2 linked regions of the Alligator mississippiensis genome follow. The protein of the gene in region 1 binds, or shares a complex with, the protein of each later gene. Links are inferred from orthologs where the notes say so. Each region holds a gene or a part of one and is shown on either strand. Other genes may lie near its edges. The genes, in order: SUPT16H and SSRP1.

Region 1 (7,401 bases):
TCCGCTTCCTTCCCCATCTGCTGCTCTTGTTCCTGCCCCTTCCCCCACCTGCTCCATGCGTGCACGTGGGCTGCCCGTGCCTCTTGTGCCCGGCCACCCCTGTTACAGACCAACTGAATCACAGATGCGTGAGGGGTAAGAACGGGCTGGGCTGGGGTGTCGGAGCTGCAAGGGTCCTTTTAGACATGCCCCCATGTCCTGCTGCCTTTTGGAGTAGCTCTGACAAGAGCAACACATCGCTGAGCAGGGGCTAGACTGGGGGTGCCCCCACCCTAACCCCAGCTTTAATAGCAATAGCTTATTGGGGGAGGGAGCTGCTGCTTTGCCCTCCTCTGTGTTCCCCCTAGGTTGCCCTTCTCTGTCCTGGGAGCTGCCTGGGGCTAAGGGTGGGGCTGCTGCCTCTGCTCACCCCTGCCCTGTCCCTGTCCCTGTCCCCATGCCAGGCACAGAGCCATCCTGTGGAGGGAAGCTGTACGAGGAGGAGGAGTCGCTGCTGTCCTTGCCCACCTCCCGCGAGGGTGACTCACCCCAGCCCAGTGCCCCAGAGCTGCTGCTGCAGGAGCGGAACCGCGCCCACGACTGGCCCAAGGTAAGGTCAGGGGTCCTGGCATGGCTGAACCCTTTCTCAGGTTGCATCCCCTTGGATGTCTGCCTGCAGCGGCAGGGAAGTTGCCGTGGGTCCACTGGTGACCCCCACTTACTCTAACTGGGGCCACATAAATCTGGTTTGTTGGTGGGGGCATATTTGCCATGTCTACATTAACCATCCCCATCTTCCCCCCCCAGGACCGGGCTCTCCTTAGCCGCATCGACTTGATCTGCCAGGCTGTGCTGACCGGGAAGTGGCCCTCTGGGCCACGTGGACCAGAGGTCTGCAGGGGACCAGGAGAGGGCATGGCCCGGCTGCCTGGGGACTACGGCCCTCCTGCCCCCCGTGTCGGCCCCCCTGACGAGGCACCCATGTCCTACACACGGCTGCGGCACAGCCCCGAGGAGAAGGAGTTCACAGTGCAGATCAAGGATGTTAGTAGGGGAGCAGGGGGTGCACACGTGTGTGGGGCAGGGGGTAGGGAGGTGCCCATGATGACTCGCCATGCTAATACCGACCCCCAGCTGGGCCCGCAGCTTGGCTCTGGCGTGGGGGGGTGAGTTCAACTCTTTTCGCGAAGAGCTGAGGCGCCCTGTGGCATGGGAGGAAGTTGGCGGGGGTAGGGGTCAAGCTTTGGCTTCTGTTCCCTATTGAACCTGCTCTGACTCCCACCCCTGGCCCGCAGGAGGAGGGGATCAAGCTGACCTTCCAGAAGCACAGGCTTGTCCCCAATGGCGCCATGCGTGAGCGGCATCAGCCCCCACCCCAGCCTCATGCCCATGCCCATGCCCATGCACACACCCACAGTCAGGGCCATGGCCACGGACATGGACATGGGCATGGGCAGGGGCCACCGCAGCATCTACAAGGCCACAAGAAGAGCAGCAAGAAGTTGGTGGAGGTGAGTGCAAAGGGTTGTTGCTGCTGGGAGAGTGCTCTGGGGGCAGGGACGTCTCTGCCAGGGGCTGTCCCTGTTGCCACTGGTCTGCAGCGCCCCGAGGGGCGGCAAGAGTTGGTCATTCGGTGTCTGTCCCTGTCTCCTGATGGAGACTCTTTCCCCTTGCCCTCGGCCCCAGCTGGAGCTACAGTGCCTGGAGAGTCTGCGGGGCCCTGACATCGACCTGGAGGCGCGGATCCCAGTGGTTCGCAAGACAGACGGGACGGTGCTGGTTGGGGAGGCAGCGCCACGCCGTGCTGACCTCGAGGCCTGGCTGCAGGCGCACCCTGACTTCGCCATTGACCCCCGCTTCCTGGCTGTGAGTGTCGCGCTTATTTGGCCTGTGTGGGGCACCCTGTCCCCCACTCCTCCAGACCCTCACTGTGCCCCCACTTTGCTTGTGCATGCGGCCCCATCTGTGTGCCTGGGGCGGGTGAGTGCTGCCTCTCGGGCTGTCCAAGCTGCTTAGATCTCAGACTTGGAAGGACCTGTGTTCTCCTGGGTGTGGATGGGGGCAGGAGGAGGCAGTTTTGCTCTACATGGGCAGCACCTGGCACTGTGGGCTCTGTGGGCAGCAGAACAGCAAGGCCACTGACCCGCCATCCTGCTCTCTGCCCCTAGTACATGGAGGACCGCCGCAAGCAGTACAAGTGGCACCGGTGCCGGAAGCCAGGCATGGCCGAAGCTAGCTGCCTTCCCGGGCTGGAGCGGGGGCTCATGCCCGACACCCCAGGCACCAAGAAGGTGAGAGGCCAACTGCACCCTACCCCTAAGCCCCCTCCTGCCCTCCCTACCTCTGTTTCAGCTGCAGTGGGGTGACTTGAAAGGGGCAGTTGTGGAGTAGGGAAGGGCTCCCTCCTTTTCACAGGTATGGCCAGGCCTTGCTGGCATCGTGGTTGTTGCAGCTCGGGACAGGGATGGGGGTCCCCTAGGAACTCAGGGGAGGCTGGGGCAGGAAGGTCCTAGCACTAACCATCATCCTCCCTCCCTCCTTTCTTGCAGGGCTACATGCCCGACTCCATGTTGCACCGCCTCCTGCCAGGCCCCATGGCTGCAGCGGGGGGTCAGAAAGCACGGGGCCGCCGGGCAGGCGTGGACCTCTCCAAGATGGTTTCGCTGATGGGGGGTGCAGCACAGGGCCAACTGGGGGCTATGGGGCCCCTGGCCCTGCACAGCCACTTCCAGCCTGGCCCTGCCCCAGGCACCGCGCTGCCCTACGCGCCCTTCCCCGCACCCGCAGCCTCCTCCTCCGCCACCCTACTGCACCCTGGGCTGGGCCACGGTAGCTATGCTCCCGGCCCCCCGCTGCACCTGGGGCACCCGGGCCACCTGCAGCCAGATGAGGACGACGACGAGGACGAAGACGAGATGGACGACTTGTCTCAGGGCTACGCCAGCTCCGAGCGGGACTTCTCCCTGCTGGACGACCCCATGATGCCGGCCAACTCGGACTCCAGCGACGGGGCCAACGAGGAGGGTGACTGAGCGGAGGACCAAGGGCCGGATGGACGGACAGACAGGATAGCGGGACTCCTGGGCTGCCCAGGCCCTGATGGGCGCTGCGGCCGGCTCCACGTGCACGGTGCTGCAGCCCCCGCGGGCGGCCCCGGGTGCAGGCAAAGGAGGGCCCGAGCTGCACGTGCCCCTCCAGCCCTGGCCGTGCCTGCCCCGCCTGCCCCCAGCATGAGCAGCGGCCGCCGGCACCCCCCTCTCCCCATCTCCACCGCCCCCTGCTGCTGCCCCCGCCCGCCCGCCGCCGCCGCCTTCTCGCCCTCTGTCTCTGTTCCTCTGTGCGTGGGCCAAGGGGCTCGCCCCGCGCCCGCTCCCCCCGGGGCCCTCAGCCCACCCCCAGCGGCGCGGGGCCCGGTGCTGTCCTTTCCCCCCCTCCCGGGCTCTATTTATATAAATATGTAATATGTCTTGTGTGATACGGCGGGGGCGGGGGGCCGGGGCGGGGGGGCTGGGCCGCATTAGAGCTTCCCGTAGTTGGATTCTTTTCTTTTCTAATAAAATGAGTTAAAATGCAGCTGGCAGTATTGCCCCATCCCCTGCCGTGAGCCACTCTGTCCTGGGGGGGCACTTGCCCCAACCCCCTTGCCCTGCTCCTGGGGGCATGGAGCCACTGCAGTGGAGCAAAGGTCATGCATCCCCAATGGGGTCACCCTCTTTCCCCCCCCCCTCCTATGGGTTTTCTTTTTTTTTTATGCGTGGCGCATGCGTAGAAGCAGCTAGTGCCACGAACTGCGCGGAGGAGGGGGAGGCTGGAAGGGGACGCGTCACGTGGTGAGGAGGGGCTAAACGCGCATGCGTAGGCAGCTCGGCGCGCTCGCCGCGTCACGTGGGGTAGGGGCCCGGTCCGGCGCGTGCGCCCTGAGGCGACGAGTGCGAAAACCCCGCGAAAACCTTGGCGCGCGCAGAGGGAGGGGCGGGGCTGCCTGAACGCACCCGCTCCTTCACGCGCGCGCGCACGCCGGGGGGGTGGGGTCATGGCCCCGGAAGCGGAAGCGCGTCCCGGGCCGCGCGTTTTCCCCCCGCAGGGTAGGGGGGCAGGACGGAATCGCTTCCGGGCTAGGGGCCGCGGCGGAGCCTGGAGCGCGGAGCCGCCTCCATGGCGCTGAGCCTGGACCGCGAGGCCTACTACCGCCGCGTGCGCCGCCTCTACGCGCAGTGGCAGGTGCGGGCCGGGCGGCGGGAGCGGGCGGGGGGGGCAGCGGCAAGGGGCAGCGGCAGCACTGACCCTCCCCCCCGTGTTGCAGAAGGGCGAGGAGGAGTACGGCGACGTAGACGGCATCGTGGTGTCCGTGGGGGTGGACGAGGAGATTGTCTACGCCAAGTCCACGGCCCTGCAGGTCAGCCCGGGCGGGGGGAGGGGAGAGGAAGGGGAAGGGGGGGCCGCCGGGGCGGGTGGGCGGGCGAGCTGGGCCCTGACCCCGCCGTGTGTGTCCCCCATCCCCTCCCCCACCCGCCCCCCCCCCCCAGACATGGCTGTTCGGCTACGAGCTGACCGACACCATCATGGTGTTCTGCGAGGACAAGATCCTGTTCATGGCCAGCAAGAAGAAGGTGGAGTTCCTCAAGCAGCTGGCCAACAGCAAGGGCGGCGACAGCATCCCCGCGCTCACGCTGCTCGTGCGCGAGAAGGTGGGTGTCGAGGCCGGGGGTGTCTCCGGGCAGGCTGTGCGCGTCCCCCTCCCCCCCCCCCGCGTGTGTGCGGTTCCCAACCGGTCGCTCCCTCGGTTTGCTGGTGCTCGAGGAGCCCCGCGGGCGCCGGGGAGCCGGTCCCCGTGCCTCTAGCCCAGGTGACAGGGGGGCGGTGCTGGGCCGGGGCTGGGGGCGGAGGGAAGGGCCCCGGTGCTGTCTCTGCAGCATAGGGACGGCCTGGGGAAGTTGTGATCCTGGACAGCGACGGCTGGAAGGGGTCTTGGGAGCTCGCGTCTAATTCACTCCCTTGCTCAAAAGAGCCCCTATTACGTCATCCTAGATGATGCTTTATGTAGCCTGTGGTACCAAGTCCGCGATCTTTTTAGGTAGCTCTGTTGTCGAGAGACTATTTTTCCAGATATCAGCAATTTTTTTTGGTACTTTTGTTCTGTCTTCTGGCATCGCTGATGAGTGATACGTCTCTTACGTGCTAGAGGGATAAGGATAGGGGTTGATCGTGGTACAAAACAGGGCATGTGGCCCAGTACCCAGGTGCTGATGTGCCCTTCCCCCCCCCTGGCAGAACGAGAGCAACAAGGGAAACTTTGAGAAGATGGTGGAGGCGCTGAAGGGCAGCAAGGGGGGGAAGCGTATCGGCATTTTCAGCAAAGACAAGTTCCCCGGCGAGTTCATGAAGAGCTGGAGCGACTGCCTCAGCAAGGAAGGCTTTGAGAAGGTCTGCGGGGCTGGGGTAGCTGAGCCACGTGGGAGATTGGGGTAGGGGGTTGGATACTGGTAACGGCCTGGTGACCGTCCCTGCCTTCCCCGCCCTGGTGCAGGTGGACATCAGTGCGGTCGTGGCCTACACCATTGCAGTGAAGGAGGATGGGGAGCTCAACCTAATGCGCAAGGCAGCTGCTATCACCTCTGAGGTGTTCAACAAGTTCTTCAAGGAGCGTGTCATGGAGATTGTGGATGCTGACGAGGTCGGTGGGGGACGGGGAGGGGGCCAGGTTGCACAGTTGCCCAGGCTTCAACTTGCCCCAGTAGCCACCCTGATTCTGTACACCTTACCCCATCCTGCAGAAAGTACGGCACAGCAAGTTGGCCGAGTCGGTGGAGAAAGCCATCGAAGAGAAAAAGTACTTATCAGGAGCTGATCCCTCCACGGTGGAGATGTGCTACCCTCCCATCATCCAGAGTGGTGGCAACTACAACCTGAAGTTTAGTGTGGTCAGGTTGGTGTCTTGTGCTCCCCCCCCAAAATTTGCACGATCATGCACACAGGTGCAGTTCTTTCCTACAAAAAGAGTCCAGTGTTCTTCTACCCAGAGCCCCCCAGTCATCTTTGGTTGAGGTAGGGGAGAGGCCTCCCCACTTACAACCCAGGTAGTGGGGTTTGTCTGGGTCTGTGCTACTCTTGCTGCCTCTTACCGAGTTCCAGCCCAGCTGCTTTTCTGTATGGTGCTTGCCAAAGACACCTTCTGACAGTTGCTCCCCACCCTGACGCATTCATTCTGTTTACCCTTGTTTTCCTGACAGCGATAAGAACCATATGCACTTTGGGGCCATTACCTGTGCCATGGGCATCCGCTATAAGTCGTATTGCTCCAACCTGGTTCGCACCCTCATGGTGGACCCCCCTCAGGACATGCAGGACAACTACACCTTCCTGTTGCAATTGCAGGATGAGATGCTTAAGGAGATGCAGCATGGTGAGCTTGGGGGGAGGGTACCCAGCATGGGGCTGGCTGGGCTGGGGGCTAGGGGTGTAGAGGTAGGAGCATCAGGGCTCTGCCCACCACCCATGTGGTGCTCACTCAGATTTGCCACCCTAGGTGTGAAACTATGTGACGTCTACGCGGCTATCATGGACGTGGTAAAGAAGCAGAAACCGGAGCTGCTGAGCAAGATCACTAAGAACCTGGGGTAAGAGATTGCTTCAGGCCCCCCGCCCCCCCCCCCAGTATCTGCCCACCTCTGGGTTTAGAGGCACCCACTCAGGCTTCAAGGCTGCTGGGGCAGGGAGCTGGCTCCTGCCACGGCGCTGGCAGCCACGCCTTCTAGCCTGGAGCACAGAGGGGGGGGTTGCCCTGGTGTTGGGGCTTTGGGACTGGGGTGAGTGGTGGCTATGGGTGACATGGCTGCTCCGCTCTCTCTCTGCCCAGGTTTGCCATGGGCATCGAGTTCCGCGAGGGCTCCCTTGTCATCAACAGCAAGAACCAGCATCGGCTTAAGAAGGGTAAGTAGTGCCCAGCTTTGCGGGAGGGGTGCCACTCAAGCCTGCAGGTTGCAGGCACCCAAGTCGGCCCCTTTGTGTCCAAATCTCTTCTTTCTGCTACTGCATGGGGATGTGCTGCTACTACTGGTTTCCAGCCTGCCTCACCCAAACCCTGTGAGGCCCTGGCCCCACTTGCATGCTCTCTGCCATGGGGTTCCTTGAACTTTGTCTTGCCACTAGCTCAGTATATAAGGAAGGAGCAGAGGCCCCCTTGACAGACCAGCCCCTACCTTGGGCGACTGGTGGCTCTGTCCATCTGCCCCTGTCCCTGCGCATCCCTTTTTTTCTCCTGTTGGGATCAGGGACAGCGCCTCCCACCCCCAGCCTTCACGCAAAAGTAGGGTGAGTCCTAGGCCCACGCAGCTCCAGGGCTGGTGCTGTCTGACTTGGTGGGGTCCTGTCTTACTTTCTGGTGGTCCCAGCCCCATCTAGTGACTCTGTCTCATGCGTCTC
Region 2 (7,351 bases), on another chromosome or scaffold:
CTCCCAGGGTCACAGTCACCCCAAGATTCACATGCATCCATCCACCCATCTGAGGTTTGCAAAGGCACCTACACACACTTACACCCATACTGTTGTCACTCCTACACTCATGTAAACACGTTCACCTCCTCCATGTGGTCACCCCCTAAACTCATGCAAACACTTCCGCCTCCTCCATGTGGTTACCCCTTTCACCATAGGCAGCAGAAGACTGGCACTAACAGGGCTCAGCCCCCTCAAACGCAGGTTAGTGGGTAGGGCTACAAGGCAGCCCAGCCGTGGGCTTCAGGTGGCTGTAGCAGGGGTGGGAAGAGGCACACATGCAGCCAGAATCGCAGCTCGGCCTGTGGATCACTGGCTGCCCAGCATGGCAGGCAAGTACCAGTCAATTTGGTGAAGGGGAAAGGGCTGTGTTGGGGGGCAGATCGAGGCCCCAGTGCTGAGGGAGGGAGTGGGGCACAGGCAGGGGCAGGGATAGGGTGAATGGGGCCCTGGCTGGGCCAGGTGGTGGGAGAATCAAAGCCTGGGCGGCTCCTCCCCAGTCTGTGTGTGGGGTGGAGGTGGCTGCCACTGCACACTGTGCATTATACCCTGCTGCACCTGCCCTGGGAGCAGCGCAATGCCACATGCCTGCTGCTGCTGGGCTGCGCCCTACCTCCTGCCCGCCCAGTGGCAGGACACACGTGGATTTGTGTGGCTTGGAGGCAGTGGCAGCAGGGAGCAAAGCCCAGTCCATAGCAGCAACCACCTCTGCCAGGGTGTGCATAGTGGTGGGAGCCCCCCTCACCCTTGGATGAGCTGCCTGGGCTGACTGTCCCACAACCTGGCCTGGCTGGGGCCCCATTCACCCCAGCCCCATACCCTGCCCGTGCCCCACTCCCTCACCATGGGGGCCTCGATCTGCTCCCCACAGCCCTTTACCCTCTCCCCACCCCTTCCCCCATAGACTTACTTACTGGGGGGGGGGTACATGCATGCTCAGCACCCCCAAATAGTTTTTTCTCCCTCCGCTTATGCCTTTCATATTTGCGCAGGAACACACACTGGCACCCTTTTCACAGTCACTGTGTCTCACCCCATCCCATACATGTGTGATCTTCTCACCACTCCTTCCCACCCACAGCCATTGCCTCTGGACACATCCATGCAGAGACTTCCACCACCCATTCACTCTGAGGCATTCTTGCTGGTCCCCATGACAGACTCTGCCACCATGGCGGTGAACACAGTGGCTGGGTTTGCACATTCCCCCTTAAGGGTTGATGGGGGGTGTTTGCGGGAATTAGGACAGGGTAAATGAGCCTGAACCCATGGTTTCTCCATACAACCCCCCTACATGCATACACACATACTTGACTACACACGCATGCATTTATGCACAAACATATCATGCATGTCGATTCAGAACACTGGTGGAGCCAGGGGATAGTTGAGTCTCCATGGCCAGACGAGACAGTGCTTGGCACTCTGAGTTGGAGCAGTGGGAGCCTGGACACTTAATCCCACAGTCCTGCCCTTGCAACCCCCTCTCTGATGTCAATGCCAAGAAGGTCCCAGGGAACCCTGGGCTGTGTGTGATGTAAATTCTTCACCCTAGGCACCTGCCTCAGCCTCCTTTCTGGTTGTGTCTGCCTAGAGTTCACTTTCCAGCCCCGCTCGTCTGCACAGCCTTGTGCTCCTGCTTGTCATCATCCCTTTATCTTCTCTCTCCCCTCCAATCCTGAATCTCACCCTCCTGCTCTGGATGCTTAGCTCCACACCATCTCAGTTCACCTAAATGCCTCTCACTCCTTGGGAGCTCATATATGCTTGTCAACATAGAGTCCCAGGACAGCTCTGGGTAGAGGGGACTCTGGAGTTGCTAAGGCCACCCTCTTCCCCTGTGTAGAGCTGTCTGGCTGTTCCCAGGCTGGGGAAGGGTGGGGGTTGGGAAGGATGGGAACTCACTGCAGGTGGGGGGTGAGTCAATCATATTCCACCCTGCCCAGCAAGTACCCCTTCCACCCACCATTTACACATGTGTGCTTGTGGAGGTGTCCTCAGAAAGGATTCTGTGTTAGGGTGGGTTAGCCTGTCCCTGCCCCCTGCCCTTTCTCCTTCAGGAGCAGGGATCACAACTGGACAGGTCTCTGCTGGAGGGAAACTCTTCTCATCTTCTGGGGTTCACCCTGTTCCAGGCTGGAACCAGTCACAGGTTGTCAGGGTGCTGGCCAGGCCAGCGCTGAGCTCCTTGCACTTACCCAATGAAGTATGAGACAATGAGCAGCTGCACGGCGCGGTTGATCACACCGATGGTCCAGCTCTTCACCACCACTGACTTGGTGGTCTCATAGGTGAAGAAGTTGGCTACACAATTCATCCCGGAAGAGACCGTGGGCATTTGGCACAGCGTGGGAAGAACTGGCTAATGCCTGCTAGCCCCGTCGAGATGGGATGCTGAGACCAAGGCAGGGATGGGAGATCAGTGGAGCGATGGGTGATGCTCCCAGAGCTACTTGGGAGGGCTGCTCCTTTAAACCTGGGATCCAGATGGTAGCCTTCCTCTGCCTTGCTGCTACTCTGGGCAGGCTGGAGCTGAGAGACCCCTTTATACAGTCTCCACCCCCATTCTCAGAGGACAGTGATGCTGGTGGGGAGAGGCAGGAAAAGGTGGGGCTTCATAGCCTGTTCATTGCCAAGCAGCTTCCCTGGTGTGTGCAAGCGAGTAGGTCCTTAATGCACCTGATGATTCCAGAGAGGAATCCACTTAGCGCATCTCAGCTCAGCAGCTTCTCCCTGCCCAGCAGTGCTAATGTCCCTCACCCTCAGTTAACTGCCCCTGCCATCCCAACTCTGTGCCAACAGGAAGGGGGAGGAAGCTAAGCAAATACAGATCTCTCTGGGGACAAATCAGCAGCTGGTGAGCAGCAGGTAAAAATGGTCCCTGAAGACTAACATGGTCCATTTACCCGCAGAACAGGCACGCGACCAAGCCAGATGCCCGCCTTGCCTGTGTTATGCCTCTTAACATGCCTAGCTCTTCTTCTTGAAGGGTGAGGGAGGTGTTTATCCCTCCAGAGCTCATGCAGGCCTTGATTGCAGCCCCTCTGCTGAGACTGCATGGAAAGGACTCATCTGATTATTGGAGGTTGACAACCCCCTCCTCCAGTCCTCTGTCACAGCTACAGGGACAGATTGGCCATGCTACCCACTAGGCTTTGTGCTTGCACCACAATGAACTCCCAACCAGCCAGCCACGTGGGTTGGAGTGTTAGAGCCTTGAGCAGAACGTCCGGGAGTGTTGGCTCTGCTGGGACACAGTGTGTGATGGGAACGACGGTTCCAGCAAGCGCACACAACGTATCACGGAGCTCCACTCCACTGCCCCTTGCTTCAGCAGGGCTGGTGCCTGGTGTAATCACCCACACACGGAAGGGCAGCCTGTGGTGGCAATGCAGTGTGACGGTGACACGAGTGTTGCTGTGGGATAGTAGAGAATAGTGTTGGCGCCGGGCCCTCCTGGTCACAGCAGCTCATGCTCTGGAGGTGTTGGTGCTGGTCACACTTCATAGGGGCCATGAAGGCTCCCCTGGACACACCCCGGGGCGCTTTCACCCTGCAAGGGGAGGGGGAGCACGCATCCCCTCTGCTTCTCTCCAGGGGCTGGCCCCACAGCCAGAGGGGTGGGCAGGGGGGCTTGGCAGTGGTGATGCCACAGGTGGACGTCATGACGTCACCACGCCACGTGGCCACCCTGTGACGCAAGAACCATCCTGAGGTTGAGGACGCGTCAGCCCGGGACACTGACCAGGCGGGGGTCGCCTTAATTATCCCGGGGGAGTGGGGGGGGCTCTGCCCAGAGCTCTCCCAGGACTCTATGGCGACAGGCGCCGCGGACCCCGCAGCAGCACCCCCACAGCCGCCACCTCCTCCCAGCCCTACGCAGGGGATTTGGCCGCCAAGCGGCCTCTCTAGCCTCAGGCCTCCGGACACTCTATGCTCCCGAGCGCCCGCCCTCCCCCGGCGCGCCCTCTCTTGCCGGAGGCCTCCCACAGCTCTATGGTAGAGTTGGCGGCCTAGAGCGGCTTGCGGCGTCGCCATGGCCGCCCGGGCCGGAAGTGGGGGCATCTTCCGGTGGCGGAAGCTTCGCGCGGGGTTCGTGTTGCGCAGGCGGGAAAGTGACCCCCGGTGAGCGGGGGAGGCGCGGGGCAAGGGCCGGGGATCGGGCGGAGGGGGATTGCCCCCCCCCGGCCACGTGCCCTCCCCCCGTGCCGCGCACCCCGGGTGGGGGGTGGGATGTGCGCGGCCCGCTCTGCCTCCTCCCCCCCGCGGGGCCGCCCTGGGCTCATCCCTCCCGTTTCGCCGCCAGGTGCCTCCGGCTCGGCCGACGCCCGGTGCTCGCCGGCTGCAGCGGGGTGCTGACGGCCCTGGGCATCCTCCCCGCCGGGTCCCGCCGCCCCAGGCGCTGCCCTGCCAGCTGGGCGCGGGCCGCAGGGGGCAGGAGCTGCCATGGCCGACACGCTGGAGTTCAACGAGATCTACCAGGAAGTGAAAGGGTCCATGGTGAGAGGGGCAGGGGGCGGGGGACCCCGGGGCTGCCCCCAGGCTGAGCTGGACAGCTGCAGGGTGCAGTGGAGGGGGGGACCGCATGGCACCTGCTGCAGGGGCCTGGGGCACGTGGCCCAGCTTCTCGCCTGTCTCCTTTTTACGGTGTGCTTCAGGCTCAGGAGGCTTGCCCTGTGTCAGGCCCTTAAATTTGGGACCTTCTCCCTGTTTGCCTGGAGGGAGGTAGCGTCCTGGAGTCTATGCTGACACCAGCGTTTGGGACTGGGGCTGGCTTACTATCAGAGGAGGCACAACATGATCGGACCCTGTTCGGTTTAGCATCTGTGGGGTAATAAAGGGGCTTTGAGGCTGTCCAGGGGACTGGGGCCGTAGCCCCAGAATCCTGCCTGCGTTCCCAGCTGGCATTTTATCTGGGGAAGGGAAGACTCGTAACTTCCTGCCCTAAACTTTTGAATCGGGTTGTAGAGGTTGTGGGAGGGGTCCACGACTTGGGTGATTGTAGCATGGGATCTGGCTTGCACAAGAAACTTAAGATTGAGGTGTGTCTGTTTGTTGGTTGACCACATACGTGTGCAGGGATTTAAGGTTCATAAGCTAACTTATCTGAGTCCTGGGACATCTGAATGTGTGGCTGCAGTTCCCGTAAATGTTCCCAACTGATTCACGTGCCTGTGAAATACGGCTGAGGAGGGTTCTTGTCTCAAATGGTCGGTTGTTTTTAAAGCCAAAACAGGGTGTGAATGCAGGGCACACAGTGCCAGTTTGGTTGGTTGTGTCCTAAACCATGGAGCTTCTGTGGGAGTCATTGTTGGAGGATGAGGAATGGCTGATTTTGGGGTGCCTTTTGCCCAGGGAGTGGGGTTGCTGGTATGTTACATCTGGCCTGCAAGATGCATACAGTCTTATTTTCAAAAGGAGCGGTAGTGAGGCCTCCTTGGCTCAAACGTAAGAGGATGGTTGGCTTCTACTGGTGATTCAGGGAGCGCTCCCTGGCTCTATCCACTTTGTTCATATCTTGCTCATGGGCGACGGCCTGTGTGGGGGAGGTTCTGGCTCCTGCCCACCAACCTCTGTGTCTCTTCCTGCCAGAATGATGGGCGGTTGCGCCTGAGTCGCCAAGGTGTGATCTTCAAGAACAGCAAGACAGGCAAAGTGGACAACATCCAAGCTTCGGAGCTGTCGGAGGGTGTCTGGCGCCGTGTGGCGCTGGGCCATGGTCTCAAACTGATTACCAAAAATGGCCACGTCTACAAGTATGATGGTTTCAGGGAATCGGTGAGTCCTTTTCTTTTGATAGTGACCAGGGTTAGAGGTGGCAGCTGGTGTCCTTGTGGGGGAGACCTCCTGTCTTCTCAAGAGTGGAGGGGGGACCACATGCTCCCCCCTCCATATGGTCTCTTAGCCTCTTGCTGGATGCTAGGCGTGCAGCTCATGCCCTCATGAGTGTTACATCTTGTTGGGTTCTAATCATGCACCCCTTCCTCCTACCGTCTGTGTATCTTTTTCCTGGACCATACAGTTTGTTGTGACCTTTGGCTCTCAGCTTTTCTGTGTGAGCTGCCAGTGCTTTCTGAACCTGAGTCTCTCCCTATGAACTGTCCAGCAAAGACTCAGTACTGGTAACACCTCCTCCCTGCTGTCCTTTCAATATAATAGCAGGGTCTACCCCAGGGGTGGGCAATTATTTCAGGCGGAGAGTCACTTACTGAGTTTTGGCAAGCTATCGAGGGCCACATGACAGGCAGCCAGGGGCAGATAAATATTAATTTTCTGAATTTTTTTTATGGGCTCTGCGGGCCGGATAGAATGGCCTGCGGACCGCGTTTTGTCCACCTCTGGTCTGCTCTGTGCTTCTTGGTAAGCACTACAAATTACAACCAGGCCACCTCCTGGATGAGTATTCCTGCTAGAGTCTCCTTCAGCTGCTTTGTCATCACCCCAGGGGCATTGCTGTGGTACTAACGTTAGTCTGTTCTGTCGGAGAGGAAGGAAGTCCAGTGCTTTGGTATGGGTTGGGGTAAGAGGTATGGCTTAAGCCAGAGGTTCATAATCACTTTTCATCTATGTTTTCTCTCCCGCTTAGGAGTTTGACAAACTCTCAGATTTCTTTAAATCGCACTATCGCCTGGAACTGGCAGAGAAGGACCTGTGTGTGAAAGGGTGGAACTGGGGAACTGTGCGGTTTGGAGGTGAGTTGGGGAGAAGTTGGATGGGAGGGAGTGGAATTGGGGCACATCTTTGGCGCTGCAGTGAAACTATTTTGGCCCTACTGCAAATGATGCGTGCTGGCAAGAGTGAAGCTGAGAGAGAGGAACCTGCTGTTCTGCCCTTTTGTGCAGAGGCATTTTGCTTTTGGCCATGGTTGAGTAGAAAAGATCAACGAAAGGTGAACCTGCTCATGAAAGGGCACTGGCTGGGATCCCCCACCGTGTGGGGCAGTCTGGTGACTCCTGCCAATCTATTTGGTTTCCACTGCTCTGTGCAGGCCAGCTTCTCTCCTTTGACATTGGGGAGCAGCCAGTGTTTGAGATCCCTCTCAGCAATGTGTCACAGTGTACAACGGGCAAGAATGAAGTGACGTTGGAGTTCCATCAAAATGACGATGCTGAGGTGTCCCTCATGGAGGTGCGCTTCTACGTCCCTCCCACACAGGAGGACGGTGTGGACCCTGTGGAGGTACGTGTAGGCCAGGAGGGCTGGCAGGCAGAGCAAGGGTGAGGGGAAGCCTCTGCTAACCCCACTTCCTTTCCTCCTTTCCCTCGTATGTGATAGGCGTTTGCCCAGAACGTGCTCTCCAAGGCAGATG

The links.
Region 2: SUPT16H (region 1) and SSRP1 share a complex: the UniProt entries of both Homo sapiens proteins name them as parts of the FACT complex. The link is inferred for Alligator mississippiensis from reciprocal best matches to the Homo sapiens genes SUPT16H and SSRP1.

The regions. Positions count from the first base shown.
Region 1 is NC_081830.1:3,858,116-3,865,516, reverse strand, and holds the start of SUPT16H (FACT complex subunit SPT16), read left to right. Parts: upstream 1-4,051; 5' UTR 4,052-4,134; coding exon 4,135-4,200; intron 4,201-4,282; coding exon 4,283-4,375; intron 4,376-4,505; coding exon 4,506-4,667; intron 4,668-5,250; coding exon 5,251-5,403; intron 5,404-5,506; coding exon 5,507-5,653; intron 5,654-5,753; coding exon 5,754-5,905; intron 5,906-6,209; coding exon 6,210-6,382; intron 6,383-6,505; coding exon 6,506-6,596; intron 6,597-6,835; coding exon 6,836-6,909; intron 6,910-7,401. Other genes in the region: CHD8 (chromodomain-helicase-DNA-binding protein 8), read left to right, coding at 109-135, 444-589, 787-1,023, 1,275-1,490, 1,666-1,845, 2,148-2,270, 2,529-3,011. UniProt on the Homo sapiens protein: Component of the FACT complex, a general chromatin factor that acts to reorganize nucleosomes. The FACT complex is involved in multiple processes that require DNA as a template such as mRNA elongation, DNA replication and DNA repair.
Region 2 is NC_081825.1:172,857,216-172,864,566, forward strand, and holds the start of SSRP1 (FACT complex subunit SSRP1), read left to right. Parts: upstream 1-4,093; 5' UTR 4,094-4,167; intron 4,168-4,348; 5' UTR 4,349-4,488; coding exon 4,489-4,542; intron 4,543-5,634; coding exon 5,635-5,820; intron 5,821-6,628; coding exon 6,629-6,734; intron 6,735-7,030; coding exon 7,031-7,221; intron 7,222-7,317; coding exon 7,318-7,351. Other genes in the region: P2RX3 (P2X purinoceptor 3), read right to left, coding at 2,241-2,380. UniProt on the Homo sapiens protein: Component of the FACT complex, a general chromatin factor that acts to reorganize nucleosomes. The FACT complex is involved in multiple processes that require DNA as a template such as mRNA elongation, DNA replication and DNA repair.